Rhinolophus ferrumequinum: one gene and its partner. The protein of the gene in region 1 purifies or fractionates together with the protein of each later gene. This does not show direct contact. Links are inferred from orthologs where the notes say so. Each region holds a gene or a part of one and is shown on either strand. Other genes may lie near its edges. The genes, in order: MAK and KATNIP.

Region 1 (16,120 bases):
ACTTACTACACAGGGAAAAGCTTTAAGTAACATAAATACCAATGTGTTAAACATCTGTCAGTAAATCATTTGTGCTGTGTGGAATGCAGTTCACATATAACCAACTGACAATACTCATTTGGTGAATGCTTCGTTTACATGGTACTGTACCATTTATCCCATGAATATTCAATAAATGTTGGCTTAATGATTTGTACGATTCCTTTTTATTTACTATAATCTATATTATTCCAGACCAGACCAAATCATACAATTATACTCAGTATATCCATTTTCTGAAGCACTTTCTGCATCAGATTTTATTTGGCCCACAATCCCTTATGTGAAATTTGTGGGCCAGATGTGTTTGGAATCCAGGAATTTTCATTTTTGAGGAAAGTAGTATAGAACACATACCTTATGTTATGTAATACTTTGCATTAGCCTTTTAATGTACCACAGAAACATGTATGAAAAATATACTAAGTAAAATAAATAAAGACTATAAATGGCCTCACATTATTCGGGTCATGTTTTGTTGCAAAACATGACAAAGATTTGCACAAATTTATTTTTAAAATTTCATCTTTCAGTGCTTTGTGGATTTTAAAACTACAGATAAGGGATTATGGATCTGTATATATTTGAAGGGCACAGGTTTCAATAGGTTCTGATTATATTACCACAACTAAAGAAAAACAAAGCACTAGTCTTAGTGCCTACCTCATTACAACAATATTTAAGTTTCCTCCCATTGTTCTTAGTTCCACATTTCAAGGAATTATTTCTCAGTTCATACCTATTTATCATTCTTAATTTGCTTTTAAGAATCTCCATCATTTTGTTATAAGGTTTTATGTTTAGTTGCAGATGGTAATAAAATGTTTGGCATCATTAAAATACTTTGTTTTAAAATGCCTTTTATACTTTGGTACTTCATTCACAGATCATTTTCCTTTTACTGTATACCACTGCTTCATTTCCACAAAATATTTCCACAAAATAAAATAAAATCATAGAAACTGCTTTTCTATTTTATGCATAAATTTAGGACCTACAAGGATGTGATGTAGTTGTCAAAATATCTAAGACTTCTAAAAACAGGCTTTCTGGAGAAAGAATAAACAAGTGTAGAGAACTACAGTAAAACTATGTTGTTTCCTATACATGGAATGTATTTGTCCACAGGAGACTTTGGAAGAACCCAGTGGGGCTTTACAATAACAGAGAGTGTGTATTATAATAATTTATCATTTATTTTACTTCATACAGAAAATAACCCCTTCAAAAGCACATGTGAAATAACGTAGGCTATGCTAACTCTGGCCAAGATCTTGAAAGAGATCACGATAGTAGATTCCAGTGCTAAGCAGGGATTCATTCATTTCTTTCAGCTTAAGTCTGAGCAAATGGTCTTATCAAATGCCAACAAATGGTTCATCCTTTGCCTAAAAATGCATTCTTTTTTGCAAGTGGTCTTTACATTATACATAGACACAGATTTTAAATATGAAGGTATTAATATAGAGAAAGGCAACATCCCTCTGCAGAGCTCCTGACCAAAACACGTATTTGCTTTTCTTAATTTTTCTTTTATTTGTATAAGGAAATATAATTTTGAAAGATCTTTTGGGTTGTTTTATACTATGTGCTATGCCTGGGCTGAAATGTATTATGGGCTGAAATATATTATGTATTTCTTCTGATCACTTAGAATTTGATTAAAGCAGTATTTTGCAATTCAATATCAACATGTTAAACTGCTTGACATTCTTTTCTACCTACCTTATTTAAGGTGACATACACCTATCTCTTTTAAGGAAATGGTGCTCTCTATAGGTTTATTGCATAAGTAACAATATAGAGAATATATTTGTCCAAAAGCTATGATGTTCATTATTCCAGTAAAATTATAAAATAAAAACACAGAAGGATTAAATGACCTATTTATGATCATTCAGAGAATCAAAGATGGAGTCCATTAACCAGGAGCTGTGTTGTTGTTTTGTGTTTTTTTTTTAGTGTGGTCCTTAACTTCTACAGAACCCATTATTGGCTTTTACAATCATTAATGGAACTGATTGTAAGGAACCACCTCTCTTTGCTCCAAAACCATGTAGAATCTATCACACAACAATTGCTGCCTGCCCCTCCCCCCTCCCTCCCCCGCACCCCCCCTCCCCCCCATCTTCCTAGCCCAACTCCCAACCCTAAAACACCAAGATGCTACTGACTAACTGGAAAGTGCAAATGGTGCTTACTACCTAACAAAACCCTAGGGCTACATCTAGCTTATCCTATACCTGAAGGACACTGTAGAAACAATAGGCCCAAAACAGTGAAGGGAAAGAAAGTCTGAGTAAGGGAGAAGGGAGTCCGAGCTCCCATCATGAAAATTATTTTTTTAACCTCACCCAGGAAATTAATAGAGAAATTTAATGGGATAATAGCACCGTCTCTCCTTTGCAAATTTTTTGCATATTCAACAATTATTTTCAAGTTAACACATAACTGAGGACAAGCATTAAGGGTCTGAGAGGTAGAAAGTAATATAGGCAATTCTGGAAAAGAACACATTGCTTGAGAAGGGAATGAAAGATGGAGGTGCCCAGGTGGGAACAGAAGTCCAGAGGTAAGAGGGTGCCAGAAAGAGTAGTCAAAACTGTACCTTGCAGTGACTTAACCTGCAAAAGTGGAATCCATTGTCTCTTTCTCTTCCACTATTAAGACCACCAACCACCACCGTCACCAGTACGACTAGCACAACAATTATTCAGTCATTGATGACTTTCTGCGTTTGGCATGGAAGCCCAACCAGGTTTAGATCAGCTATTGGAAACTTTATTCCAAGCCAAACCAACCAACCGTCAAATATACACTGAACACAAAGGTATTTTAAAGTGAGGATGGCTATACCGTATGCTGTACTTATATTCAGAGAAGAATAAACAAGGGACGTGGTCATTTCCCAACTTCTCTCATTTGGGAGGTGGTCGTGAAGATTAAGGACATGGCATAGATTTAAAAAAGGCAGATTTGTGGCTCTGAGAGAATCTGTCCAGTTTAAATCCTACCTGACCTTTAGGTAAAACAAATTGATATACTATGCTCCCAAATAACTTTAGAAAGACCTCTTTTGAATCATATTAATTACAAATTAAATAGCTCTCCAGGGTGAGAAACAAGCCATTTTCACTGTCCCCTCATCCCTCTGAAAATACAAGGACAATGGCCTAATGTAAAGAGGCATAGATACACAGGTAAAGGTTTTTTAAAAAATCATATTCCTATGTACCCACTGACGGATAGCACATAAACACCTATTTTTTTTTTTTTATCAGTATAACATAGCAAGGTCCTAAACTGATTACTAGTCAAAAAAGCAGCACATGTAACTTAAGAAACAGAGTGCAGGTCTGTGGGGAGCGGCGGACGTGGATCTCTGTTCCACAGGATGGGGTTTATTAAAGTTAAAGAATAAAACCCAACTTCAAGAGATAACAAGTGAATTTTAGAAGACGGCAAAAGGGTAAAACTGATTACTATGGCCGGAAACGCTTGGTAATCCAGGATAAAAATAAGTACAACACACCCAAATATAGGATGATAGTTCATATAACCAACAGAGATATCATTTGTCTAACTGCTTATGCCTATATAAAAGGAGATATGATAGTTTGTGCAGCGTATGCCCATGAACTCCCAAAGTATTGCGTGAAGGGTGGCCTGACAAATTATGCTGCAGCATATTGTACTGGCCTGCTGCTGGCCTGCAGGCTTCTCAATAGCTTTGGCGTGAACAAGATCTATGAAGGTCAAGTGGAGGTGACTGGAGATGAATACAATGTGGAAAGCATTGATGGTCAACCTGGTGCCTTCACCTGCTATTTGGATGCAAGGCTTGCCAGAACTACTACTGGAAATAGAGTTTGGGAGTCCTGAAGGGAGCTGCAGACGCGTTATCTAATGGAAGAAGATGAAGATGCTTACAAGAAACAATTCTCTCAATACATAAAGAACAACGTAACTCCAGGCATGGAGGAGATGTATAAGAAAGCTCATGCTGCTAGATGAGAGAATCCAGTCTATGAGAAGAAGCCTAAGAAAGAAGTTAAAAAGAAGAGGTGAAACCGGCCCAAAATGTCTCTTGCCCAAAAGAAAGATCGGGTAGAGCAGAAGAAGGCAAAAGCTTCCTTAGAGCTCAGGAACAGGCTGCTAAGTTAATAAACAAACAATAATTTTCCATGAAGATTTTTCATATTAAGAGAAAAATAAACTTATTAAGCAGCTAAAAAAAAGAAAAGAAAAAAAGAAACATACACTGCCTATGGGTCCCCAGTTCACACACAATAATATTTCTCTACAAGTTACATATTCTTCTCTGTTGACCTATAGAAAGCTAATTCTGCAAAATTTGCAAGCATTAACAAGATTTCTTATGTACATGAATATATATATATATATATATATATATATATATATATATATATATATAGCAAGGCAACACACAAGTACATGTTATAGAACTGTGATCCTCAATTAATTTAACAGAACTTGGAATTTTCCACAATCAAGCTACAATGTTTACTTACTTTCCTATGTGTTAAACAAACCTTATATTCTGATTTAAAGAAAAAGACATGTATTTAGAGGCTTAGTATAGACCTACATTAAATAAATACCCATATAATTTCTCTCCCATTCTAGTTTTCTTACTTTTATCTAAGAGTACAATTGCTGCTTATCTAAGTGCACAATTATTGTAAACTTGAGCTTTATTCTCAACAGTTTCTGCCAGTTAAGAAGGGATTTAGATAGGAGTAAAGAAGATTAACATAGAGGTCAAAGGGAGGGTGAAACTTGTGTCTGCCAATCACTGAACAGATGCCATTTGGATGCCTTCAACTTGCTTTGTAGAACCTACTGTAATCACTCCTAGGCTCGCATTAACGTTTAAGAAAAACGTAATGTCTTAAGAATCACTTAATTGTTTAAAAAGCAAAACAGGAAAAAGATGTCAAACTAACCAAGTCATATGTTTACAGAAATTAAAAGGGGAGCTTTTACAATGGGAAAACAAAGATTCTGTATTAAAATATAAAAGCATTAGTGCTTTGTGGTAATATTCACAAATCATTTTAAAACTAAACAAAAAGAAAAAAAAGAAAAAAAGAAAGAAAAAAACGTATCCCAACGAAGAGATAAAACATCCTTGCCAAGAGCACCCTCGCGTGGGTAGCAAGTGGCCGCCTTCAGAGGAGTATCTCCCGTCCCCATCACTCAGCGGTCACTGGAGGATGGGAAAGATAAAGGCCAAAAGGCTGAAAAGTAACTTTTGCCTCCACCACTATATTGACCCAATGTGTTGTTTTTCTGATTAAAATAAGTCCAATAACTGCTCCATGAGAATTCCGTTATCACTAGAACAAATATCTGCTGATTTAAAAAGATTATCGAAACACAAATACATAAATCTTTCCTTTTAGAATTGAGATTACAAACCACTAAAAATCAGTTTTATTGGTTTACTTTCCCACCCGTCTTATTTGCAGTAAAGAAACAGTTTTCGTTACACGGACGCTCTGATCCTTTTTCTGCAAACCGGAGCCCTTAAAAGACTCCTAAAAAGACTTCTGTCTTTTTTATTTTATAGAACTTCTGAACTCAATTCGCTCTCTTTCCGAGACCCGACCACGCCCCTCACTCCTAAAAGTAGTTTCCCCTTAAGCAGTAGAGGGAGCGGAGGAGGTGTGCGTGTGTGTGTGTGTGTGTGTGTGTGTGTGTGTGTGTGTGGCGAGGGGGCGGGGGAACCCTAGGGAAGAGGTTCGGGGCAGGGTACCTCAGATTGACAGATGTCCCGTCGTCATCCCCCACCCGGGACCGACCCCCGCCGTCTAGGAGCGCAGGTAAAGTGGTAGAGGGGGCCTTAGACAGAATCCACTGCAGCAGCCGCAGGCCGACCCCTCCCGCCCGCTCCGCCTCTCAAGGGATCTCCTCCCTCCCGTCCCTTCCCCTACCAGTGTCTATGCCCCTTCTCCGCAGAGGTTGGCCCTGGTAGGACAGAGCGCCGCGGGGACATGCCCGGCCAGCGTCACAGGACAAGCTCGGGCTGGATGGACAGAGGATGGCAGCCCCGCAGCCGGCTCGGGATTACCGGCCCCAGCCAGCCGCTTACCTCGTTCGCTCCCTTGTGAAGCTCTGGCGTCTTGTGTGTTTCATCTCCTAGGAAACGGCAGGGGTACGCCAGCTCTGGCGCGGCTCGACGCTTACACCCGGCCCATAGGGGGCGTGGTCGAGCAGGACTAGCCTCGCCCCATCCTGCATGCCCCGCCTTCTTAGGGCGGGGTTTCCGGGAATACCTGGGCATCTATTGAGACCTTTCAGATTTCTGCCGTTTAGATATGGGGTTTAGGAGATTCCTTTTCAGTTCTTTATAGAAAGTTGGTTGGTTTGCCCTTTATTTTTCTTGGTTTTGCTCTGATTCATTCTACAAAGTTTGATTCACTAAATCTGGTTCCCAGACTCGGGAAGGGAAACAGAAAGGCATAGGTTTGCCTTATATTTGTATTTGTTTATGCAAATACCGCCTGGAGAAAAACTGCTCTTGTATTACAATTCCTTACATTGGTTAATTCCTCGGGTATGTGTTATCTCCTAGGCCAAATTTCTAAGTTCATTTTCATTTATTCATTCAGAGCACCTACTCTGCACCATTCACAGTTTTAGATTGTAGTAATTACAAGATAAATGAATGAATGTTTGAATAAATGAGTAAATAGTAGCTAGCCTAGAGTTGTGAGAGTTGGGTACACTTGTGTTACTGCAAAAAAAAAGTTCAGATTGACGAGTGTAAAGAGTTTCTAATATATGAGGCAGTGATGTATCCATTTAGTAATTATCTGTTAGGTGTCAGGCTCTGGGCTTGGCACTGAGGTTAATGCCAAGGTAGCTAGACAGACATTCTCATGGCCCTCTTACAGTTTAAAGTGAAATAGGCAGGCAAAATAAAAAGCATAGGTTAGATCATGGAGGTCTTATATGCACTGTTATGAAACCTAAACCATATGATGCAGTGATAGGGGAACACTGAAAAATTTTCCACAGAGGAGTGACATGTTCACATTTGCATTTTAGAAAGATCACAAGAGCAGCAGGGGGTAGGTGGATTTGAGCCATGAGTATGGAGACAAGAGAAAGAAACAGAGACTATTGTAATTTATCAGGAAGAAATGATGACAATCCAACTATATCAGTGATGATGGAAATAAGACAGAAAGGGACAGATTTCAAGGAATATTTGTAGTTAAATTTCATAGGACCATATGGCTTAGATGAGTGGTAGATAGTGGTATCCACAAATAAGTTGGAAAATATTGGAAGAGGAGCAGATTTGAGGAGAGAGGGTGGGGGAGATTATAGGACCAGTTTTGAAAATTTTGAGTTTGAGGAAAATCCAAATGGAGGTCACAAGAAGACAATTTGAAATGTAGATTTGTAACTTTGGGTTATGTCAGAGCTGGAAATACAGAAATATCGGAATACTGTGAATGAAGTCGTTGGTGTAGACAAGATAAACTAAGAAGAACAGAGGCCTGAGATTCTGGAAAACTCCGTCTTCTAAAGAGTGGGGAGAGAAAAATGGAGGTGATGGAGAAAAAAAACTAACCAAGAGAATTCAGAGAACCAGTAGGAGATCTCAAAATAGTATTTCAGACTGAGAAAAGGTAGGTTAAAAAAGACAAACCCAAGAAACAAGGAGGAAGACAAAAAGAGGACAGCATGACTGACTAGATCCTCTGAAGAACGCTTCTGCTTGGAAACAACTAGATCATGTGTAAAGCATACTTTTTATTGCACTGTTGAAATAGGAAGAATGGAAAATCTCCAAGCATTCCCATACATTGTACTCGAGTAGGAGAGGAAACAAATGGGAAAGGCAAAGCTGGGCCAAAGGCAAATCCTGCTTGAGCACAACAAGAAGACTAGCCCTGGACCAGTGGCAATGGGACTAAGCTGACCAGAGACTAGAAAATTAATCAGGGAACTTGGGAAAGGGCCAAAGTGGTACCAGGCCAGTAGAACCATCTGAGTCCCAGAAGAAACAGACACAGATCATCTCCGGAGAAGCATCCTCAATTTAGGACTACAGATTTTTTCATAAAATGTGAGCTCATGACCACATGACAAATGAACCCTTTCAAGTGAGAATTAGCAGAAAAAGCAACAACACATTCAGACTTTTGAGAATTTCAGAAATTGGAAATATTAACTTGAATATAAAATAAGTATGTATGAAAAACATACAAAAAAGCATACAGAATCACACAAATGAACCAATGTTGACCAAGAATATTAGAAAATAATTAAAAAACTGCTAAAATGAATATAATAATTCTTAACATGTTTTTTAAAAGAATGAGTTAAATCACATATTAGAACCAAAGAAAAAATTAGGAGATTGGCACAAAATCTGCAGAAATCACCCAGAACATAGTATAAACAGACAAGAAGATAGAAAATATTAATGAGAGATTAAGAGGTTTGATAGAAGAAGAAGTCTAATATATATCGAAATAGAGTCTAAGAAGTAGAGAATAGAGAGATTAGAGGACAGCCAAGTTTTGCAAAATTGTGGCTGAGTGTTTTCTGCAACTAACTGAAGACATGACTCCACAGATAAAGGAAGTACAAAGAATGCCAAGCCGGGCAAGTAAAAAGATGTTCACATCTAGACACAGATAGTAAAACTGCAGAATGCCAAAGACAAAGCAAATTTAAAAGCAGCTAGGGAGAAAAGAGCGATGACCTGTAAAGGAAGAGCAATTAGACTGACAGTGAAATTCTTAATAGTAAAACTGGAAGCCAGGAGACGAAATGAAAATTTCCCCTCAAGTGCCAATGAAAATAATGAAACCTTTTCCTCAAAGTACTGCCAAGAAATAACTGTCAAACCAGAATTGTACCTGAGAAAGCGATGTTTCAAGAACAAGGGCAAACAGAGACAATTTCAGATTAAAAAAACAAAACCAAGATATTTTACAACCAACAGACCTACTCTAAAGGAACTTTCAAAGACTGGACTTTAGAAAGAAGGAATGTAATCCCAGGAGGAAGGTCTGAGGTGCCAAAAAATAAGGTGAGTGTGTATAAATGCATATATGTATAAATGCATAAATATTCTCGGTGCAAAATAGCAATAGTCTAATTTGTGGCGTTAAAAGTATGAACCAAAATATTGAGAGGACATTAGCACACAAGTTGAAGGGTTAATCAGAATGAAAGAATTATAAGATTCTTGTAGTGTTCAGTGACCTGTTAAGATAGAAATTTTAGCCTTTGTTCACTTTCAGCATATACTTACGGCAGTCAAGTGGATCCTGTTAAAACACAAGACAGATTTTGTCATTTTGTTTAAAACCCTGGAATAGGCTTCCTTCTCCTTCCCAAGGTCTTTACCATCAACTACAAGCCTCTGAAGATCATCTGGCCACCTTTTATCTATGTGATCTCATCCCTGCTAGTCTCCTTTAGTTGCTCTGCTGCAGCCTTTTCACTGTTGCTTGAAATGCTCCTGTTTCTGGCTTTCCTTCTACTTGGAATTTTCATCCCCCAGATATCTGCATGGCTCAGTCCCTCACTCCTTTTTGGTTTTTATTGAAAAAATTGCTTTTTCAGTGAAGCCTTCTCTGGCTACCCTAACTACCCCACTGCTAGCACTTCATGCACATCCCAATGCTTTATGTTTTTCTTTTTAGCACTTATCACAATTTGACATCTCATATATTTTACCAGTATGTGTTGTTTATTTTCTGCGTCCCCCACTGGAACGGAAGGTCCCTGAAGATGGGGATTTATGTGTTTGGTCACCAACGTATCTGTCCCTTAAACAGTACCTGGCACATACCAGGAGCTCAATAAATATAGGAGTGTTTGGAGAAGGGCAAGTGGGAAGTTAGGAGACTAGTTAGGAGATGTTTGCAGTTTCGGGGTTAAGATATGATGGTGGAATGGAGACATGTGACAGCAGTGGAGCTAGACTGAAGCGTTGCAGTGTCCAGTCACAAATGAATTGATTCAGTTGATTGATTGAAACCTTAGAAAACTTGGAAATGTAAGTCTTTGATGGAAACTCCTATGACAGAATTCACTACCTCTTCTAATCTCAACTTGGGATGGTTCTGATGGTTTAAATTGCCCTTTTATTGAATGGGAACAGGTTACTTTGCAGTTCTTGGCAGTTCTCTACATTTTACTCTGTATGATCTGCAGGACCTCTTGTTTTTGCTCATCTAGCATTTACTACTCCCTTTCTGGTATTACCTCAATTTTCCTTTGGTGAGACACCCCTGACCCATTTGTCTTTGGGGTGTCCACGTGAGCCACTCAGAGTCTCGGTGGTGAGCTTCCAGAGGTGGGCACATGCTTCCGAGATACTGGGAAAAAGATGCTCCCTTTCTGTTAGGGAAACTTAAGAAAATGACAGTCCAGAGCAACTGGGCTCCATCTTTGCTGCATATCTTTGCTGAGAATGAACACAGAAGGATGCAGGGCTGAGAGGAAATGAGATCATTTCTAGATGACAGCATTTGAGCACCTGCATTGAGCCATGCCTGAATGTATTATTGATCTTTTCAATTGGAAGAGCTGGAAAAATCCTCTTTTTGCTTTGTCATTTGATTTTCCTTTCCACTTAAATCGAAAGTGTCCCTGATTTATACAGGACCATTAAGAAGACATACTTTTTCTCTCACATGTTACCTCTTCCAGTATTTGAAGTTAGCTGTCCTGTATCTCCATGCCTTCTCCTGGCAACTGAGAATGGCAAGGTGAAGGGTCATCCAGTCAGCCCAGCCCTGCATTAACTTCCTACCTCAGTCTCAATGCCAAATGTGGGAACCTGACGTTCAGTGAGTGACTAAGGAATCAGAACATTCCTGGTTCAATACATTCTTCTAACTATGCCATTCTCTTTTACTTTTTCCTCAATTCCCAACTCTGATCCAGCTAGCCTCAAATGATGTTTTGGTGGGTTATCCCTTGACCTTAGGATTTAAATTAAACTATTTTCTAAAGAAGTGTATCAACTATATAAGATCATGATCAAATTTTAACTCTAAACAAATTCTACATGGTCATAATTTTAAGAATGACCCACCTTGTTTTATTTTTCTTCATGACACTTACCACCTTTTAATATACTATACAGTTAATTATTTGTTTTGTGTATTATTTGTTTTCCTCTCCATCCCTGCTAGATTATAATTTTCACATGACAGGCATTTCATGTGATTTGTTCATTGTTGTTTCTATAACATGTAGAAGAGTGCTTGGCACATAGTAGGTGCTCAGTAAACATTTGTTGAATGAATGATACAGACTCTGCCCTCTAGCAACTCATGTTTTAGAACAGGAATTTGCATTTTGCTAGAGGAATGTATAGTCTGGTAGGGCCTATGTCTTCGAGGTTTGATTCACTTTCATTTTCATAGAGATATTCTCATCAAATTGTTTCCTGGATTTCTTTTATCTGAGCAACTGCTTTGCATTAGAAGCATTTAAAATTTTATTTTAAAAAATAGAACGTTTATTTTGACTTTTTCAAATATAAATTAATTGGAAAAAATCAGAAAACACAGGCAAGTTTAAAAGGAGAAAATAAATATTATCTTCCTTTGTTTACTGTTTAATATTTTGCTGTATTTTGTCTCACTTTATTTTTAAACCAAAAGCTTTATTATAAAAATGAAAGCTGGAATCACTGATGAAGCCAGTGTCCTACACAAATAAACAAACAATTTCCTCTCTAAATGAAAAAAACCACTTCATATCATCATGCAAATAGATTTTCCACTAAAACGAGCATATGTGTGCACGTGTTGGGTTTTTACCAGTGTTCACAGCTTGTAGCTTTTTACCAGAGCAAGGATATTGGTGCCATTCAACGATACACAACAGCATCGTAGCTAAATGCCATTCCAATGCTGGAAGCCTCTACGCGTACCTGAGAGAGGTCCGAAGCTACAGGCAGAAGCCAGGGAGGGCCCCTATCTAGGAGATCAAAAGGCACCTGATTGGAACTTCAGGCACAAAACATCCCAATGGACGACCGTGACCATCTTGAAAGGACACGGTTGGGAACCTGAGATCTGGCTTATCTGTCAAGAAGCAGCTACTTCACTGCATTATGTTTAAACAGACTATTCAGTTCACTTCATTCCTGTCACAAATAAGTCTAGAGCCTGTCCTGCTTAGGAGGAAGTAATAAATTATATCACCTCAGGTATGTTTGTTTCTGTCAAATGAATTTGTGGAACTGATCTTTATCAATATGTTTCTAGGTCCAGCAACTTTGTTTATATATTTTATTCACTGACTTAGAAGGTTTTACTGTAATATTATATATCATCAAGTTCCTGTCCAAAAGAAGCTCAAAAGCTCTGAGGTGAAAATTTAAAAACACTAGAAAGACATCACAAAGACAAGTAACTATTGAAATTACAATTTTCATTCCCATCTTTTTTGATTTCTTAAAATGCATACTTCTTGAGTGGGGTCACAACGGAACACTTGGAAGAGGTTATGTTACAAAAACTCAGGATATCAGTGTAGCTTCTTTAAGCACAGCAGGTATGTGTAAGCTTCACATTTTTAAAACACCACGCAAGCTTTTGTAAGTGTGGTTTGAAATCGGCTTCATATGGAGATTTTAGAGATATTTATTTAGATGTGATTTTATTTAAATGTCAAGGTTTATGGTTTTTGCATAGCAAAGAGTTTGTTGTGTTAAGTTTGTTCAGTTATAAATTAATAATTAGACTTCACCCAGTCCACTAGATATTATAACAACACTCACGCTCATTTTTGCTTTACTCATGAATAGTCTCACAAAGCCTAAATTTTGGGTGCATTAGGAAAAGTGAAGTATTTTTTCCTGAGGATAAATGATCATCCTTTCAAAATAAAAATGTAACTGCAAAGACTAAATGGCAAAGGAGAAGGAAGCTGATTCATACTGCCAAGTTCAGATGGAGTTGCACTATTGGATGTTTCAAGGGACCTCAGAAAGTGGCTGGGCCAACGAAAAGAGGATTGGCTGAAAGTCTGTAAAAGGAGCAGTTAGACCCCCAGATCTTATCCTCTAGCCCACCCTACCAGGGGCCACTGCCCCTACCTGGGATAGCAAAGTCTGAATAAGGCACCAGCTAAAAATAGGAAGATAAGTGAGCTACTGCATTTTGGATGGTGAGCCCGTAGGCTACTTTCTCTGCTTCCAGAAAGATGGCAACTGGCTTATGCCACAGGTGATAGATTAGAACATCACCCTCTGGGAAAGTGGATTAGAACAAAAAACTCTGTGGATACTGATGGTTGAGTTCCCCAGTTGCTAAGCCCCAAACAAATAAGGAATCTGATACACAGGAGGAAACTCTGTGACTCAGAGGGAACAAAAGCAATGCAGGGAATATTAAAAAAAAAAAAAAAAGCAAAACAAACAAAAAATATAATTAATATTCTTCAAGACATAAAGAGAAAATATTTGTATCAATGAAACAGGAAGATGATTCTATAAAAGGAAGTAATATTCAAGAGGTAATAAATAATTCTTAGGAAATAAAACTAGGATGGCAGAAATCTAAAATAAATTAATAGAATAGTTTAAGGTAAACTGGAAATTTGAACAATACAATATATAGTTTTAAAAAACAAACAGAAGAGAAAAGATTAGGAAATAAAAGAATCAAGTCTAAGTAATGAATGTCAGAAGAAAAAAAAAGAAACAGGATCAAAAATCAAAGAAATAATGCAAGGATAATACAGAATTGAAGGATATTTGTTTTCAGATTGAAAGAGCCCACTAAATGACCAGTAAAAAAATAGGGAAGGAAAAAAAAACCACGAAGACACATCACAGTGAAATTTTAGAAAACTAGTGATAAATAGAAGATTCTATGAAAAAAAACAGGTCACACACATATGATTAGGAATCACCATGGAAGCTGATGCTGAAAACCAGGAAAATATCCAAACAAGCAAAATACAGAGCAATGCCTTCAAAATCTGAGGAAAAATCATTTCCACCTTGAATTTGACACTCAAGCTATCCCTCAAGTTTGAGATGTGTATTCTTCTTCTATGAACTCTCCCATGCATCCTTTCTCAGGATGTTTCTGGAAAATGTTATCCACCAAAAGGAGAGATAAATCAAGAATGAAGACACAGGATCCTGGATAAAGAGGATCTAACACAAGAAAGAGACAAAAAAGAAAAGGAAAAAAAGAAATCCCAGGATAAGGGTAGAAAGAAGAAATAGCAGTCTAAACTTGTGGTTTAGAAATATGGAGGTAAATATTGGAAGAAATGTTCAAAGGATTTGAAAGTGGTTGCCTCAGGCTAGTGAGAATCAGATTAGGAAACAGTAGCCCATTATTATACTGTGTGTGTGTGTGCGTGTGTGTGTATGCGTGTATGCAGACAAAATAAAAGGCAATTTTAGAAAAAAGATTAGCATGTAATGGCTCCCTGGTCGTATGTATTGCCTACTGTAATGAAGATTCTGTTATGTCGAAATACTGATTCTAAGGAATTCTTTATGTTGTCTGGCTTTTTAGTGAATCATTTTAGAGTCAATGGAAATATGCTTAGAATTTGAATATGGTAAATATTCGCAGCTAACTCAAGCCTAAACTGCTTCTGCTGGCTAAAGATGATCATACAATAAAGCAAAAATGGCCCATAAACAATTACTTCTGAAAAATGACAGTTCTGGAAATTTGTTGCTGTTGTTTTTATTAGAAATTAAGAGACTACAAAATTCAACTGCTCCCCATTTCCTCACCTCAACAAACACAGTTCCAGATTTTTAACTTTGGAGCAACTGAATTATCAGAGGTCTGACAATTAAGTTTGCAAACTTGCCACTGTGCACCTACACTGGCAGCACTGTACAAACAGCTTGGTAAGGTTTCATAACCTTGGTATATCAATGTCTCACAGCTGTTTTTGTGTTGATGTGTGGTAGTGTCTTGCTGAGTGGTGTTCATTATTGTTGTTGCGTGTTTTTGTGTGCCATACAAGAATGCCTGAGCTTGAATTAGAGCAATGAACAAACAATAAATTTCTTGTTAAACTTGGCAAGAGTAGAAGTGAAATAAGGGACACGCCAATCCAAGTTTATGGGGATAACGCCAAGAAGAAAACGGCAGTGTACAAATGGATTAAACATTTTTCTGAGGGGAGAAAACGTGTCACTGATGAAGAAAGGTCAGGGTGGCCAGTAACTGATGAAAACATTGCAAAAATTCATTGAATTGTGCGTCAAAATCATTGGATGACTGTGAGAAGCATAGCAGACCAAGTAAACATTAATAGAGAAACAGTTAGGAAAATCTTAGCTGAAAATCTTGGCATGAGAAAGGTGTGTGCAAAAATGGTCCCAAAGGAGCTCTTGCGTCATGGCAATGCACCAGCTCACAGGGCACTGCCTGTGAGGGAGTTTTTAGCCAGTAAATAAATAACTGTATTGGAACACCCTCCCTACTCACCTGCTCTGGCCCTCAGTGCCTTCTTTATTTACCCTAGAACAAAGGAAATATTGAAAGGAAGACATTTTGATGACATTAAGGACATCAAGGGTAATATGATGACAGCTCTGATGGCCATTCTAGAAAGAGAGTTCCACAATTGTTTTGAAGGGTGGATTAGGCACTGGCATCAGTGCATAGCTTCCCAAGGGGAGTACTTCGAAGGTGACTGTAGTGATATTCAGCAATGAGGTATGTAGCACTTTTTCTAGGAAGAGTTCGCGAACTTAATTGTCAGACCTCATAGGCTCATCATTTTCAGAAAGCTGAAAAAATAAAAATAAAGAGAAAAATCTTAAAATCTTCAGATAAAATGAGGAAAAATGATACAAATAACTTCTAACTTCTCATTAGAAATAATGAGGACATTATTATAATAAGGAGGACAGAATAGCATCTTAAAAGTTATGAAAGAAAAAGAAAACATGTCAACCCAGAATTCTATCTCCAGCAGAAATGTTTTTCAAAAATGAAGTATAATGAAGACACATCTTAACGGCATCAAAAGGATAAGGAAATATGTATTATGAACAACTGAAACCCAGTAAATTAGACAACTG
Region 2 (15,923 bases), on another chromosome or scaffold:
GATATTATAAAAACGCAGTTTATATGAGTGCAGATGAATTCTCCTTTATTCCGCCCTCGTCCCGATAGCATTCTTCGCCTGCCATCTGCCGTGATGCGTTCAGGGGTTGTGATTGTCACCAGCCCGGCACGTGTCCTGAGTGTGTGACAGCAGCCCCTCTCCTACACCCAGCTGCTCTCCCCCGAACCAGGTCAGCTCAGCTCCTTCCTCATCCTACGTGGGAAGGGAAAGCTGCATCCTTAAAAAGTTATGTCATCTTTTCTTTGCATGGCTTTCGGGTGGGTGTTAACTTTGCAGCACAACGTGCCTCAGGGTTCGCTCGGGGAGCTGGGTCCTGGGTCACTATGAGTTCAGATTTTGTTCCATCCTCATCAGAAACTTCTGAGTATTTCTAATCAGCGTCATCTCCGTTGCTAGTGTGAACTGAGCACGTGTTATACGCCAGGCAGGAGCCTAAGCATTTTGTATTTCTAAGGTGTTGTGTTAATCATCAGCCCCATTTTTTTGTTTTGCATTTCTTATTGAGATCTGATTTATATAACACACAATTCACCATTTTAAAGCATACAGTGCAGTGGTGTTTAGTATATTCACAGTGCTGTGCAACCATCACTACTATCTAATGTCAAAACATTGATGTCACCCCAGGTAGACACCCTGTACCTGTTAGCAGTCACTCCCCGTGAACCTGAAAGAAAGTAGGAAGGGAAGGACGGAGAGAGAGGGGAAAGAGTGAGAGAGGAAAGAAAGGGTCTTGGTCCCACACAGTCGGGGAAGGGGTGAGAGGGAACTACGGTGAACTGTCTTCTTTCTATTGCTGGATCTGTGGGATTCCTACGGCGACCCTGGACTGTAGTGTGTGAGACAACACAGCCTGAACCCCACTGCACTGCCCTGGATTTGAACGGGAGGTTTCACTTCCTGCCTAGGGTGTTCGCGCCACTGGGCACCTGTCGTGGGCACAAACAGGCTTTGCCCCTCATTGGGCTTAAAGCAGGCCTGGAATTTCAGAAGCCAGGTCCCTCCGGTGACATGTCCCCTGGGATCAGCCAGTGGGCTTGGACCATTCCCCATCCTCTGCCCTCCCCGCCCCCCTCCACCTTCCCCTGTCCACCTAGTGAGCTCCTTTACAGCTCAGCGCCGTGTCCTTTCCTCTGTAGAGCCTGCAGCCCCCGAGTAACGCCAGGCCCCCGTGCCCTGTACCCACCGCGCCCTGGCACAGGTGCGTCCTCCAGCTGACACCTCCCCCATGGCACTGGAACAGTCGTCTTTCCCTGGCCGCCTCGCGAAATTCCTTGAGAACAGGGATGTTGTCTTCCTGCCTTCTTTTCCTTCTCTTCCTCCTCATTCCTTCCTTTGCACAAGTACTTTGTAAGTTCCTTGTGTGGACCAAGCACTGGCCTGGGGCTAGGAGACACCGCAGTGAGATTCGGCACCTGCCCTGCGCCATATGGGTCTGGTACCTTGGGGGGACCCACAAACAAATGGACAGACTTTCACAGAGTGAGACGTGCTGGCTCCTCGAGGAGGCAGGCGGCCTGGGTCGTCAGAAGAGGCCCCAGGAAGGACCACAGGTGCCCAACAAAGGAACTTTCTAGGCCTGGGGAAACAACAAGGGGGCCCTGGTCTGAGAGGAAGGGGCTGAGCTTCTCCGAGAAGCAGCCAGAAGCCATTGGGCCAAGGGGTTTGGGGGTGTGTGTGGGAGTGAGGTCAGGGAGGATGGTGGGGCCAGACTGCATCACCTGTCTGCGCCCCTTAGAGCAGCACCCAACCTCAGGGGGAGCTCGAGACATGTTTGTTGAATAAATAGCAAGGGGCCCCTCTGTGCTACCACCTCCTACCCGGGGCTGCGGGGCAGCTCCTGGGGGGAGAGGGACCCGTCCATTCAGGCAGCCCCGGCTGGCTGGGCGGTGGTGACGGGATGGACCTCGTGAAAGATGCTCTCTGTGGCAGGTTCATTCCCTTCCAAGGAAAGGCTCTCCCATGCAAGTCAGGTGTGGAGGAGGGAAAATCCCACCTGAGCTGCCTCTCTCCTCCCGTCAGGCCCAGCGGCGGTCCTGCAGGGTCGGGAGCCTCCGGCAGGTAACAGCTGCGCTAAGGCAGGTTGGCACCAGCCTGGGAGTGGAGAGCGGGCGTCCTGAATCGTCAGAAGCTGTTTATGCTGCAGCCGGGCTTCCAGGGCCGCGTCCCCTCCGGGAGGAGGCAGTGGGAGCAGCCCCAGCCCATCTCCACCCACGGAAAGCCTCGGTGGACGTGTCCGCTCAGAAGCCTCCAGCAGCTTCCCGTGGCCTCAGTAAAGTACAGAGTCCTCACCGTGGCCTCTGCCCGAGTCCCAGCCCATTCCTCCCCGCCCGCCACCCCCTGCAGCCACACTGGTCCCCGCGCTGTGCCTCACATATGCGGAGTGCTCCCACCACATGGCCTTTCACTGGTTCCTGCCCAGATTCCTACAGGGTTCTTTTCCTTCCCTTCCTTCAGGCTCCGCCTTCTGGTCCTCCAGGCTCCTCCTTCTGGTCCTTCAGGCTCCGCCTTCTGGTCCTCCAGGCTCCGCCTTCTGGTCCTTCAGGCTCCGCCTTCTGGTCCTCCAGGCTCCGCCTTCTGGTCCTTCAGGCTCCGCCTTCTGGCCGTCTCGGACCCCCCGGCTAGGACAGCACCCCCTCTTTCCCTCCCTCTCTCGCTGCTCCCTCTTTTCGTCTCCGCAGCACTTAGCACTATCTGACATACCACAGATTTACTTATTCGTTTCATCACGTGTCTCCCTCCTCCCACTAGCACGTGAGCTCCCTGCTAGCAGACTCGATGCCCTCCCTCTGTCTCCAGAAGGTGCTCAATAAATAGAGCAAATGGATGAATTTGTAAAATGAGGGCAGTGTCACCCACCTGGCAGGGCTGTGGTGGACGTGGAACTTCCAGCCCCGAGTTTCCTCCTGTGTGGTTGCACACTTCCACGGGCCTGTGGGTGGCGTGTAAAACACGGGCTAGTTCCGTGTTTGTGTCTGCCTTCTATTGATGGCACGTGAGAATGCTTTTCTATCTATGGCATGAATGTACAATTTTCCTTCTTCAAGTCAACTCGTTTAAGATTTTAAAAGAGAACGTCTGTATTTGCCAGCCTACACGTTGGCTTATCACACACACTGCAACCTTACGAGGAAACTTTTCTGAGAATCAAAAGACATGTTACTTATTTTCTAGTAGACACCTATGTATGGAAAGTGATTTCTTAGATAGCTATGTGTGGGGTCCGAGTCCCAGAATGTAGTTTCCAGGCTCTCGGCCTCACGTGGAAAGGTGCTGGCTCGGGTAGTAGAGGGTCGTCAGCTGTGACTAGTTGGCCATCAGCTGTAACCGGTTAGCCATTAGCCACCGATATAACTGCCGTGGCTGGGTTGGTTGGTTGGTTGGCAGAGAATCGGATGGCAGATTGCAGCTCCTGCTTCCTGTGTCTCCAACCCGGCCGCCAGCGAGACGATAGCGGTATGACTCCCCTATCTGTGGCTCCGTGGGTGTTCCTTTTTGGCCTCACCGTATTCTGTCTTCTTATGTGGGGAGCAGGACCAGAGTCCCTGCATGACACTATGTAAGAAAAACTTTTTCATAAAGATGCAGCATATGGAATCCTGGAGTCCAGGAGGAAATCCTAGATTTTGGATCTGTATCGATATCCTACAAATCCTGAAACAAAATATAACGTCTCAGGGTGTGTCTTGGTCCATAGCAGGGAGGCATAGTAATAAACATAAGTGTAAGGTGTGTCCTTGGCTTACCCATCTGCTATGTGCCTAGTATGCGGCTTGGTTACCACGTCTACCCAGGGCCTGAGAAACTGAAATCTCTGCTGCAGTGTTCTGTGTTGTTTCATTCTACCTCTAAGGGGTGGTGTCAGCCATTGCTTTAGGTCTTCATTGCTTGGCTTCTGTTTGCAGTGCAGGCGTACTGGCTGTAGAGTGTTTGTGGTTTGTGTCCTGAGGATGGGAGTACATCTGGTACGTCAGCAAAAGCAGTGAAAAGTAAGCTCAGAATTATACTTTTTCATTCAGCTAATATACATTAAAGACTTAGAACACAGCACTGAGACACGAAGAACAGAATCTCTGAGTACAACGGGAGCTTTGGCATTTGGGGGCAGGTTTTGAAGGGTGAGTAGGAGTTTTATACTGTAAGATCCGTTTGGAACGTCTGTCACTGTGGGTGTAGGGCCCTCACTGAGAATGTTCATTAGGTATCATCTTAGTCGTCTACTAAACACTGCCCTGAGCCCTAGGATATGGCACAGACTTTGCAGTCCGACACCCCTGAGTAGTAGTTCTACGAGTGTACCACCGAGAACTCCCTCAGCTGTGTGTCTCTCTCTCTCTCTCACACACACACACACACACACACACTTCAAACCGGCTTGAGTAAAGAAACAAATGTATTAGCTCTTGTGACTTAAGAGCCCAAGATGGCACTGGCTTCAAGCATGGCTGGATGCAGGGGTTAAACACGGTTAATTTAAGAGGGTCTGCTTTCTGTCTGCTCTCTCTCTCTCTGTCCTCGGTTCTGCTGCCTGCCTCTGTGTTGGTGTTGCTCCTTGGACACACGTCTCCATGGGACATAGACGGATGTCAATCATCCCTTGATAGAAATGACTTCCGCTGTGGTCACCTTTGTAGCTCTCGGCGCAGGTCAGCTAATCATTCCAGGGGAAGCGAGGTCGGGACTTTTCCCGCAGGTTCAGCCAATCCCTGAGCTGAGTCTGCTGGCCTTCCTCTGGGGCCACGCATAGCCCTGAACCAGTTGCATGTCCAGGAGACGCAATGCCCTGATTGGCCAGGCCGAGGTCCACATGCCCTCTCTGGTGGCGCTGGCAGTATTATGTCCACCCCCACCACACAGATGGAGCGTGGAGGAGAGGGGTTGCCCCAAGAAAAATTGCGGCCTGCTGGCAATTTGCTTCAGCTTTCAAAGCCTGTTTCCACCTCTTTAAAATGGGGCTACTGACCCCAGAGCTTAGCATTATTTTGATCCCACAATAGGCAGCCACAGAAAGCATGATAAATGGCAGCTAAGGCGGCCGGAAGAGCGGGCCCAGGGACCTGGAGCGCCTGCTCAGAGCTCATACACCGTCCCTCGGTTAAAATGTGACCCTCGGGGGCCGGGGAGTAACTCAGGTGTGTGGACGTGCTCTGTGCACTCTGCGCTGCTCCCAGACCCACTGTGGTTCCCAGCCCCGTTAGGAAACCATTCGAAGTTATTGGGCTTCTCTGCGGGGGCCTGACAGCTGCCATTGGACATTCATCGCAGGCCCTGGAAACCGACAGGGCCCTCTGAGCGGCGCGGACGCGGCCTGGGCTCCGGCGCGCCCTCACTCAGCCCGGTTTAGGAGACTCCCAGGATTCTGGCCTCGGGAAAGCGGAATCCCTGGAATACGGCCTGGGCCGCGTGCCTTTGAAACACAAGTGACTCTTGGCGTGTCTTTCCAATGCCATTTTCTTCCCCCAGAGACCATTAATGATGTGCTCAGTGATAAAATTTACACCGTCTCTGGGCCAGCGTTAGGGGTAAGATGACAAGAACTACAGCAATGAAAAGTGGCGCTGAGGCTCTGCTTCTGTGTCACGTCCACCCTCCTTAGGCCCTTTGCCAACTTAACTCGCCCTCCTCAGCACCTGTCGCCCTAGTCAAAACCCCACACCTTTGCCCATGCTGCTGCTTTCTGCTTGAAATGCTTGTCCCTTTTCTTGTTGCCCCAGAATATGTTCCAACTTGAAAATCTCAGCTCAAATGCCTGTCTGTCTACCCCTCTCTCTCTCTGTCTATCTCTCTGTGTATTTTACTCCGTCAATATCGGGTAATATATCCACTGTGTGCATGTACTGTCTTAGGGTCTGGGAAAACACAAGTGATCAAAACGGATACAGTCCTGCCTGCATGGAATTTCCATTCTAGTGCAGGGGACAGCGCCATAAATAAGAGGCATCATAAATAAGATAAAGTAGGTATTATATTAGTGAGGGATTGGTGTGTGTGTGTGCACAGCTTGCAGTTTTACATGGGGCAGCCGGGGAGGGCCTCCCTGAGGTCAGTTCTGAGGCAAGCCTCGGAGGAGACGAGGAATCTGGGTACTGACCTGGGGGCCGAGCGTTCCAGGCAGAAGCAATGAAAAGTCAGGCCCCTGAGCGGGGAGCCTGCTGGGTGTCGACGGGGCCGCAGTGGGTGGTGGGAGCGGCTCGGAGACGGGCTTGGGGTCTGTGTGCAAGGCCTGGTGGCCACAGAGACCTGTGCAGAAGACATGATGCACCTGCCTTTTATCTGGACCCCCTGGCTATAGCAGGGACAGCACACGGCAGGGTGAGGGCAAAAGCAGGAGGCCAGCGAGGGGGCCTGAGCCAGGGGGTGGGGGCAGGTGGGGGAGAAGTGGTCCGAGGCCGGGGGGTCTGGTAGTTTCCACCTGGAGCTGATGGGTTGGATGGATGTGGAGGGGGGAGTGAGCAAGGCTTCGAGTTTCCTCATTCGGATCCGTCGCTTCATAGTTTATATATTTTTGATGGTCATTTGTCTCCTGTTTGTTGTCTTGGATGCTTTTGGTGACTTGACGAAAGTTATGGACAGATGAGTGTTCCCAGAGCTCCCAGCAAGCCACCCCGACCTTGCGGACCCCGGCCAGTGTGTGTTTGCTTGACTGGTTTGCACAGCGGCACGGGGTGTCATTCACACCACACGCAACATGAAAGGGGCCGAGTCCTGCACAGCTGCCCCTCACTGGTGGTCCAGTTCGGCCTCTAGGCAAGTTGATATCTGAATATATACGGGGGCCGAGCTTGTTAGACCATCATTGCACATGTAACAGCCAACCCAGTAAGCACTTGATAATGTTTGCTGAAAAACAGTGATGATAAACTTGGCACTTGACAAGGTTCTCACACCCTTGTGGGGTGCTTTATGGTTAATGTGCCCATTTCACAGCCTGACAAATAAAGCCTCAGTGAAGGGAAGTGTGCTGTGCTGGGAGGAGCAGTGTCTGGTGTCTGACCAGGCTGGGGTGAGCGTGGGCTGAGCTGGTGCTTAGGCAGCTGTAGCAGCTGTCGTCACAGCTGGATGTGGTAAAGCTAAGATGAGCCCAGGACCAGGCCTCCCCCTTCCGTATTCCCCCCGGCTTCCCATGGTCTGCCCCCCTAGGAATTTATGATCCGGCTAGGATTATAAAGGAGAACAAGAAAGAAAGGACCCTAAATGACTTCCGCTTTTCTCCTAATTACTCCTTAGAGCAGCCCTGTGAGGCAGACCTTACTAATGTCCCCTTTTTACAGATGAGGAAACTGAGGCTCAGAGAAGGTAGGAAACAAAGCTCAAGGCTCACCCCCTCAAGTCTCCAAATCCCCAGGTAGTTAGTGAGCAATATACATAGTTAAATGCTAACAATTTATCACTTAATCATACACTCTGCCACACTGTATTGTATGTTAATTTAATACTAATTTCAGGGTTTCAAAATGAGCTGAAAAGTGAATGCGGGTGAGACTGTCACGGGGAGAGAGACTTTGGGAACTGAACGGGCCTTGGGGAGGATTGGGTTGGAGGCTGCGGGGGAGACGGAATGAATTGTGGAAAAGGGAATACCACGAGGAAGGCATGTGCCGGGGGGAGCCTGGGAGATGGTGCGATTTAAAATGACGCAAGTCTGTGACGTACGTGTACCGTTCATTGCAAGCTTTCCTCGGTGCCAGGTAACTGTGCTAATCCCTTTCCACCGTCACTGCCTCCTATGAGAGAAAGGAAAATCCTCCCGGACGGTGCCGTCATGACCTCTGTGTCACAGTTGAGGAAACTGATGGCAGTGCTAGGACTTGCATTGGAGCTAGTGCGTGTCCTCCCCGCTCAGGCTCAGTGACGTCCCGTCAGAGGTGGGTGCGTGGTGAATGGTGGGGAGTGAGGAGAGGCCCGGCTACTCAACTCGTGTCCCACCAGCCCCGTCTGGGAGCTTGCTGGAACGCTCCGTCTGCAAGCCCTGCTGCATCAGGGCCTGCCTTTCAGCACCACCTCCAGGTGATTTGTGTGCACGCTTAGCGTTGAGAAGCACAGGCTGCTGAAGACTTGGGCTGGAGGTAGGCCTGTGCTCTTCACGTCTTTCTGATGACCTCTTCGTCCTGGCAAGGGCGAATGAATGTTCTGGAAGGGTTGGGGTGAAAGCCCAGGGCAGCCCACCACGGCTGAGCTCTTTGACGTTCTCCTAGTTCTCATCAAAAAATGTCCATCGAATGTGTCGTTCTGTACTGTAACATATATCAGTGGTCATTTGCATGTTTCAAATGGTTACGTGAATTGCCTTGGAATAGGATCCCGTTCGTGGAATATGCATGGGATGGCTGTGCTTGTGTCTTAAGTGGGGGGTGGGGTGGGTAATGATCACTTCAAGGACGGCGGGGAAGATCGAAGGAGAATCACGTATGTGGAGGGGCATGCTTAAATTGTCCTCATACATGTGCTGTTATTCTAGAAGGAACTGAGACTCTTCCCCTCACCCAGTGTCCTGCAACCAGCTCTCCGCAGCCCTGGACGAGGAGTAACTCGGTGGGTTCCCCAGCCAGGGGCCCCTTTCCTTGTAATCAGAAAGAGAAGTGACGGCAGAAGGAGAGGGACCCGGACAGGTTGAGATGGACAAGCAATTACCACCCACCTCCGAGGCCGAGGGAGGAAGGGTAGCCCGAGAGGCCCAGGCAGAAAGCTGCGAGGGAAGGGAAGCTGGTCCAGGGCTGCAGAAGCTGGAGGACGGGAGTGTGGGCAGCGATGGGTGGTCGGCCGGCCGGTCAGCAGTTGCCCAGAGCCCAGAGCAAAGGAACAGGAGGAAGAAGGGAAGAGCTATCCTATTTGGTTAAGGGGGTTTGGGTCACCCTTGGATAGGGTTCTGGAGGGAATAGTGGGGTTGAAGCCGGATTTTGACAAGAAGAGAGCGATGGAGATTTTTGTTTCTTCTTCTCCCCAGGATAATTCATCCAAACTGCATTTCTGTCACAAATGTCTCACTTGCCCTTTAAAACTTAATCCCTGTAACTTGTGACTAGAACCAAGCTGACATGGTCTCTTTAGTCTATTCCTTGGCAAAATAATAAATAAATAAGGAGCATAGAAAATTGTGAAGCAGTGTTTCTGTGGGATTCTACTTTGTTTAAAAGAATGTGTGTTTGTGTGTATTTTACGTATAAAATAAAGAAAACCATCTGGAGGACTATATATCAAATTATAATGGGGGGTTACTGTATATACATATGTCACTTTCAATATGTGTAGCTTCATTAATTTTCCCTCCATAAAGCTGTAAAAAAACATATTGTCAGATTGTGGTAGATGACGTAATTCTTTGGACTGAAAATGAAGAGACACTCAGCTGAAACTTGTAAAGCAGTCACGAAGTGGTCCAGAAACTTCTTCAGGCGTGGGTAGGTGTAGGGGCTCAAGCTCACGTCCGTAGAATCTCTCTCCCTCTCTCGGATCCCCTGTCTTCTCATCAACTTCATTCTCACGCGGTTCCAGGCTTGCGTCTCATCAGCTCAGCACCGCGGTGGAAAGAGAGCAGCTTTTTCCCGGGAGTGTCAGCCTAGCCCAGGGCTGACTTTCTAGGGCTCAACCCAGACCAGGGAAGCAGTGCAGCGCTGTGTTGGTTGGCAAGGCCAAGGCCAAAGTCCTGTGACCCAAGAGGATAACGAAGGAACCTTCAAGGGCATCTCAGGAAGCCAGTTCACTGAAAGAAGGGGCCGAGCGGTTGCTCAGAGCAAACCCAGTCTGGGGCCAAAACCCCAAATGTCTGCTCTGGAGGGACCTTCATTCTCTGAGTCATGTATTTGTGTAATGACGGAGTTGTTGATAGCAAGCATACATTTTTCTCGTGTGTTGGCAAGAGAAAAACGTGATCCCCTCCTAAAACAACTGATTTGGGACGCCTTCGGTTAGGACAATTGAGATAAGTCAATCAGGAGCCTGGAGAAAAGAGAAAGCCCAAATCCTGGCCGAGCCCTTGATTTTATGGGGCCTGGGAGAAACAAACAGGAGAAATGATCTCGATTTTCGTACGTCGTTAGTTGTGGTGAGGCGCCCCATTGGGCCATCAGGCAGCCAGCCTCTGGGGCTCTGGGTCGCCAGAGGGACGCGTCCAGGGAGCCGGCTTGCGTCAAGGTCCGCCCCGCCTCGCGGCCACCTGTGCAGAGAGTGTGTACTGCCCCCCCGGCCTCAGGACGTGCTTTCCTGCTTTCTGATATCACACCGCTCTGTTTCTTCATTTCAGGGTCTCACTAAAGGACATGTGCCAGACTTTGATGAGAAACATGATGAGTATTTAATATTGCTTCAGCAGAGGAACCGGTAAGGACGAAGCCGCTTGCCGGCAGCCCCTCCTGTTAGCCAAGTAAAAACCCTGTGTGGATGTATTAGCAGCACGCAGACTCTGTTCACGTAGCGAAGGGATGCCGTTACCTCCACACACAGGCTCGGCGTATTCTCTGCAATGCCGGCTCTTATTTCCCCATTCACTCATGTCACGGCATCTTTTGATGGAGCTGTAGCAAACTATTCGACGTGTAAGTGCCGCCTCTTGCCTCCCTGCTTCCGTTCTGGGAGAAGGTAGGTTTGTCCCGAAAAGCCAGACCTTGGCAGGGCCTGTGCATTGGCCGCCTGAAGAGCCCGTGCTGTGATCTTCCAGGCTGCTCCCGTCCTTTGAAATCAGAGCCTGTAATCACGCCTTGTTATGGAAAGGTGGTGCCATTGTCCATTTGTGTTTGAAGTTGGTCCCTACGTCATCATCTAAGGTGATGTTAGTGCGGATTTTGACTCGGGAGTGCCGGTTCTTGAAAAAGCCTGCGGTAGATGGCAGTGGTTAGTGAATAAGGTCAAAGCAGTGCGGTCTGGTTTGAAAGAAGTCTGGAGGGCTGTCCAAGTTCATTTCCGGTTTGCTGTGGCTTATTTGCAGGCCTGGCACCTTGCAGTAAGCCCGGTCTGCAAAGTCGGATGCTAGGAGGGGCCGGGCAGTGAGTGAAGCCCACTCAGTGGGTGAGGACAGTTGGGGGCCTGGAATTCTCGCTTCCAAGCTGCTGGGGCTCAGGCCACTTGTTGGTGGGAACACAGGCCCAGGGGTCCATATCCTCCCAAGACTAGGAGACAAGCTGGAGATCTGGGTTTGTGGGTTTGAGTCGTGACAACCGCCTGTGCTTTAATAAAATGTTGGTAATGAATGCAAATGAAAGTGCGAAACAAACGGACGAACGCCGTAGGCCTCTCAGACAGACCTGCAGGAGGCGGAAGGATGGCGTGCTAATTTGGGCCTTTGTGTTAGGGAATTAGCTTGGGGTCTTGCAGGTGACAGAGTCTGGGGTCATCATCCTGAATATGGACTCTGCCCTTCTCTGACAACCAGGACCTGTCACTTGGGGCTCCCGCGGCCTGTGGCATGGGACAAGTTTTTAGGTGCAAGATAGTCCCCTGTGTTGTAGGATTAGTGTTCCCACCCACCGGCCACTTTACTAATTCCGTTATGCCCCCCAGTCTCCATGACAACACCCTCGCCGCATTTCCAGGTGCCCCTGGTGAGGCCGTACCTCTCGCAGTGGGGACATCTGAACAGAAATCTCTCCAGCACCAGCCAGAAATGCCAGGCACTCCGTCTGTGCCCAACTCCTTCCGACCCAGGGGCGAGCGGCAACTACACTAGCTGAAGGCCAGTTAACTCAAACGTGGCTTTTTAATCGTCGTGGATGCCACAGAGCAGGCTGTTTTTACTCAGTTCCTGGCAAGCTGGACGGGGGTCCCCGAACCCCTGTGTGATCGTCTCATCAAATCCACGTGACGTGTCTGGGAGGAGAGTGTCAGATGAGCAAATGGCTTCTCATTAATCGGGGATCAATAAGTGTGCAATCAAAGAGGCACCAGCCGACAGCGCGGAGGAGAATATACGGCGACGAGGTGGCAGCACAAAGGCAGCTAAAAAAATGTATCAAAACTGAGCTGCCATAAAATATGGGGGATGTGTTGTCACCGAGAGGGAGCTGGCTGGACGACAGGAAATTAGAAGGTAGAGCTGGAAAGAAACAGCTCCAAATGGAGACACATGCAGAGAGGGTGCCGCTGAGCTATCGTCGGCTGTTGGTTCCAAGGCACCTTTTCTGGAGGGCCAGCCACGCGCCAGGCACCTCGTCCTGTCATCTCGTTTTATCTGCACACGACCCGACGAGGCAGACACAGTGGCTGCCCTGTTTTACGTACAAGGACGTGGAGACCCAGAGAGAGAGCTGTGTGCCCAAGGTCAAGAAAGTCTACTTTCTCATGTAGACTTTGCTCGACATGGTCATAAATAATCAAGAGGAGAGAAACCTGCCAGGGTCGCCAGTGGCTCCAAGTTCACTGCGGAGGGGCTTTGTGGGAATCAACTGCGGTTTGCTTGGAAATCCAGTTATAGGACCCAATGGAACACCAGCCGCTGAGCTTCCCACTGGGCCGAGAGGGCGATGAAAACCCGGCTGCTCCCCGGGGGTGCCTGGTGACCTCAGAAGGGCTGTGCAAGAAGAAAGAAAAGAAAAAAATAAAATAAAAAAAAAACCAGAAAAAAAAAAAAACCACACACACAAAAAAAGAAGGGCGGTGCAGTCACTGGGCGCGTTCTCAGGGGAGTCAGTCCACAATACAGCGGCCCCAAGAGGCTGAGTGACACTGCTCTTGGATTCATCCAGGAGGAGTTCACTGAGTACTTGCTCAGAGCCCAGATTCCCACCAGTGTGGGGAGAACACTGTGATGGGGGAACGCAGACTATCTTACTTTCTGCTCCTATGCTGGGAGGGATGGAAACCCATGGTCAATGGTCCTTAGGCAACAAGGAAACTTACTGGCTCACGAAATTGAGAAATCCAGGATGACAGTCTGGCTTCAGGCATAGCTGGATCCAGGCTCTCAAGTTACGTCCGCAGAATCAATTGTTCTCCGTCTCTCAGCTCTGTTTCCCCGTGTTGGAGTCATCGTAGGGCATTTCCCTCTCGGAGGCCAAAGCGGCCACTGGCCACCCCCACACCTACGTCCCACCTCGAGGGGAGGAGAGCACTTCTGCCCTCAGGGTTCCAGCAGGAGTGCTGAGAAGGACGCCCATGGACCTGACTGGGGCCCCAATCTCACCCCTAAGCCCGTCTCCCCGTGTCGGTGAGGTGGCAGGTCTCACTGGCCTCTCCTTGGCTGCCCAGTTAAGCTGGGGGTGGAGTGAGCCTCACCTAAACCACGGGGAATGAGAAGGAAGGAGTGGAGCAGCACCCAAAGGGGATCCACAGGCAGGGCTGCGTTTGGGAGGTGGGGGGAGGGGTGCCGGGTGGGCAGAAAGAACAGGTGTCCGCCGCACACCCCTTGCCTGGAGGAACCGCCCTTCCCTCCCAGCTGAGCACCAGGCCACCTGTAATGGAGCCGGAAGAAGCAGAAAGGGATCACGGGCTCCAGGAAAGGCCCAGGGGAGGGTCGAAGAGGTGGTGCCCAGCTCACCGCGCACAGACCCTCCCCGAGGACGCTGAGTGATTCTGGTCACTCAACTTCCTGAAAGACGGAACCACGCCCAGCAGAACTCAGGGAAGAGCAAGCAGTGTGACCAGCGGGCTGGGAGGTGAGGAGCTAACGGCCCAGGGGGGCTGTACAGACTCTCGATGGCGGCTGCGAGGCCAGATCCAGTGGTGTTTTTGTGTTTTGGAAAAGGTCACTTGAGGGAAACTTACAGGAAAACATGCCCACCTGACAGGCAAACCCACTGCCTCAAGAGGAGATTGAGGCAGAAAGAAGGAAAAGGGGAACCAGCATGCACGGGCGATCCTGCACGGGGCGGATCCATGAGGTGGGGTTTCAGCCTGGTCCCCTGTTTCCATCCCCGTAGCAGTTCAGACACGTGGAGGTGTTTGCGGTCTCAGTGTGAAGAAGAGGAAACCTAGGGACGTGCCCCAGGTCACACGGAGGGGGATATGGCAAGGCCTTGGGTGGTGACATCCTAGAGGACAAATACCAGAGCCTGCGGGCCACCCAGGTTCCGGGAGGAGCAGCAGGCTTTTTGCACCACTGCTCTGGGTTCCTCCACACTTTGAGGCTGGACTCAAATGCCACCACCTCCCAGACGCCCCCAGCTTGGAGCCACCGCTCTGCCTGGGCGCCCTCGCTGCTCAGAGCCCCTGTGGCGAGACTCCTGATGAGGAAACAGAAACAGCGGAGCCGGTGGCTGGGAGACAGGCTGCAGGGCCTTGTGGACCTGACTTTAAATCTGGCTGCTTCCTGGGCCAGCCTTGGTCAAGTTCATCTCAATCCCAGGGCCGGGAAGGACTCAGCCTGACAAGGCACCTGCAGGGCCTTCGTGAGGCCACCACCCCGGTGCGGGGGCTTCCTCATCACCGTTGTCATTTCAATGTGAAACGCCTTCTCTCTGAGCTGCCAGCCGGATCCTCCTCGAATGCCTGGCCCTTAGAGAACCCCTCAGTTGAGCCTTTGAGTAACTGAGGTCCGGGGGAGCCACGTGGCTGGACCCCGGTCACATAGCAACTTCCGCGCTCAGAGACCCAGACAGTTCCGCCCAGAACCCACTGCCACTAGGTCCACGAGCAGCACGTTGCCTGCCCGCTGAGCTGGGCTGAATCCTCTCGCCACCTGGGACCCTGCTTGTGCCCTGACCACCCACCTGTCAGGCATGTCCTGTCCCCGTCACTCCCTCGTGATGACCTGTGCTCTCCCTCCTGGTGCTTCCACTTCCACCAAAGAGCTCTCCGTACAAGGGATGCAAAGGTCAGCACGGATAAAGCGGACACGATGGCTGCGCTGTGCGTTCAGCCCACGGAGGCTGTATTCGGATGCACGGCCATGTCTCCTCTCCCCACTGGACCTGGAGTTCCTCGGGGCCACTTGTTCCAGAACTAGGTTCTGAGTGCATTGCTCCCCGTTCCTGGCACTCAGCACGGTCCCCGGGCCCAGGGCTCGGATTCTGCTGGGTGGGAAGGAGACTGAACAGACACAGACGCTGACCTGTAGGCTGCCGTGTGAGACGTGGTAGGAAACAAGCACAACCCGTGAGAGAATAGAGAGCCCAGGCGTCAGGGGCGGGGCTTCCTTCTTTGATGGGGCAGGGACCGAATCTGACTCCTCTGAATCCCCTTCACCGGGGCAGCTTTTTATGCAAAGCAGGCCATCAGTTACACAAACCCCACTTTTCTTTTGACGCCACACGATCCTGACTGATGAGCTCGGCTGCCGCAGAGGCGTTCCTTTAGTGGGTCCTTTCACAGTTTGAATAATTATCTCCTCATTTATCAGCTTCATAAATCCACACTGTCATAAATCATCCTGCTGAAGGAGAGGCCCACGTGGAGGGCCAGCCCCGGGTCCTGGGGACCAGGAGACCACCACAGTTGGTAAGGTAGCATCAGGGAACGGGCAGCGTCTGGAGGGAAGTGGAGGCAGGCCCCTCCTGCCTAGTGGTCGGATTTTCCGCCCCCACAGCCCTGCCCACCCGAGTCGGGGCTTCCCAGGGCCTGGGCTCCCTGCTGGTGTGTCCCAGGACACTGCGGGCGTCCCCGGAGCCCTAACTGTTTGCTCCAGTGAGTGTGGCGAGTGCTGTGTTTGGAAACTGTCTCTTAGTTACATGTGTTTCCTTCTGTTTTATGCTGTTGCCCCGCAGTTGCCCCACAACCTGGCATCTCCTAGGTTTTCCAGGGCTGGCAAGAGATAAACAGTCTGTAATGAATGTTTCTGCCACGCTGGTTAAAAAGATGGATCGTGCAGCAGCTCGGGAAACGTTTTTAAAAGCAAACAGAAATCCCCATAACGCCACCCTACCTGAACAACGGATTTAATGTTTACGTTTATCACCTTCCACTCTGGGTCCACGGACACACTCTTTTTTTCCCACTTTGCGCTTCCCACGTATGTACCGTTTTTATTCTGCCTTCTC

Evidence for each region.
Region 2: the proteins of MAK (region 1) and KATNIP purify together in Homo sapiens (affinity purification with mass spectrometry; 3 studies listed by BioGRID and IntAct, with this or other methods). This does not show direct contact. The link is inferred for Rhinolophus ferrumequinum from reciprocal best matches to the Homo sapiens genes MAK and KATNIP.

Annotation. Positions count from the first base shown.
Region 1 is NC_046292.1:83,290,170-83,306,289, reverse strand, and holds the start of MAK (serine/threonine-protein kinase MAK), read right to left. Parts: upstream 6,211-16,120; 5' UTR 6,155-6,210; exon of another isoform or gene 5,997-6,154; intron 4,199-5,996; exon of another isoform or gene 3,456-4,198; intron 2,612-3,455; exon of another isoform or gene 2,571-2,611; intron 1-2,570. UniProt on the Homo sapiens protein: Essential for the regulation of ciliary length and required for the long-term survival of photoreceptors. Phosphorylates FZR1 in a cell cycle-dependent manner. Plays a role in the transcriptional coactivation of AR.
Region 2 is NW_022680357.1:1,863,915-1,879,837, reverse strand, and holds the start of KATNIP (katanin-interacting protein), read left to right. Parts: upstream 1-8,636; coding exon 8,637-8,759; intron 8,760-10,261; coding exon 10,262-10,338; intron 10,339-15,923. UniProt on the Homo sapiens protein: May influence the stability of microtubules (MT), possibly through interaction with the MT-severing katanin complex.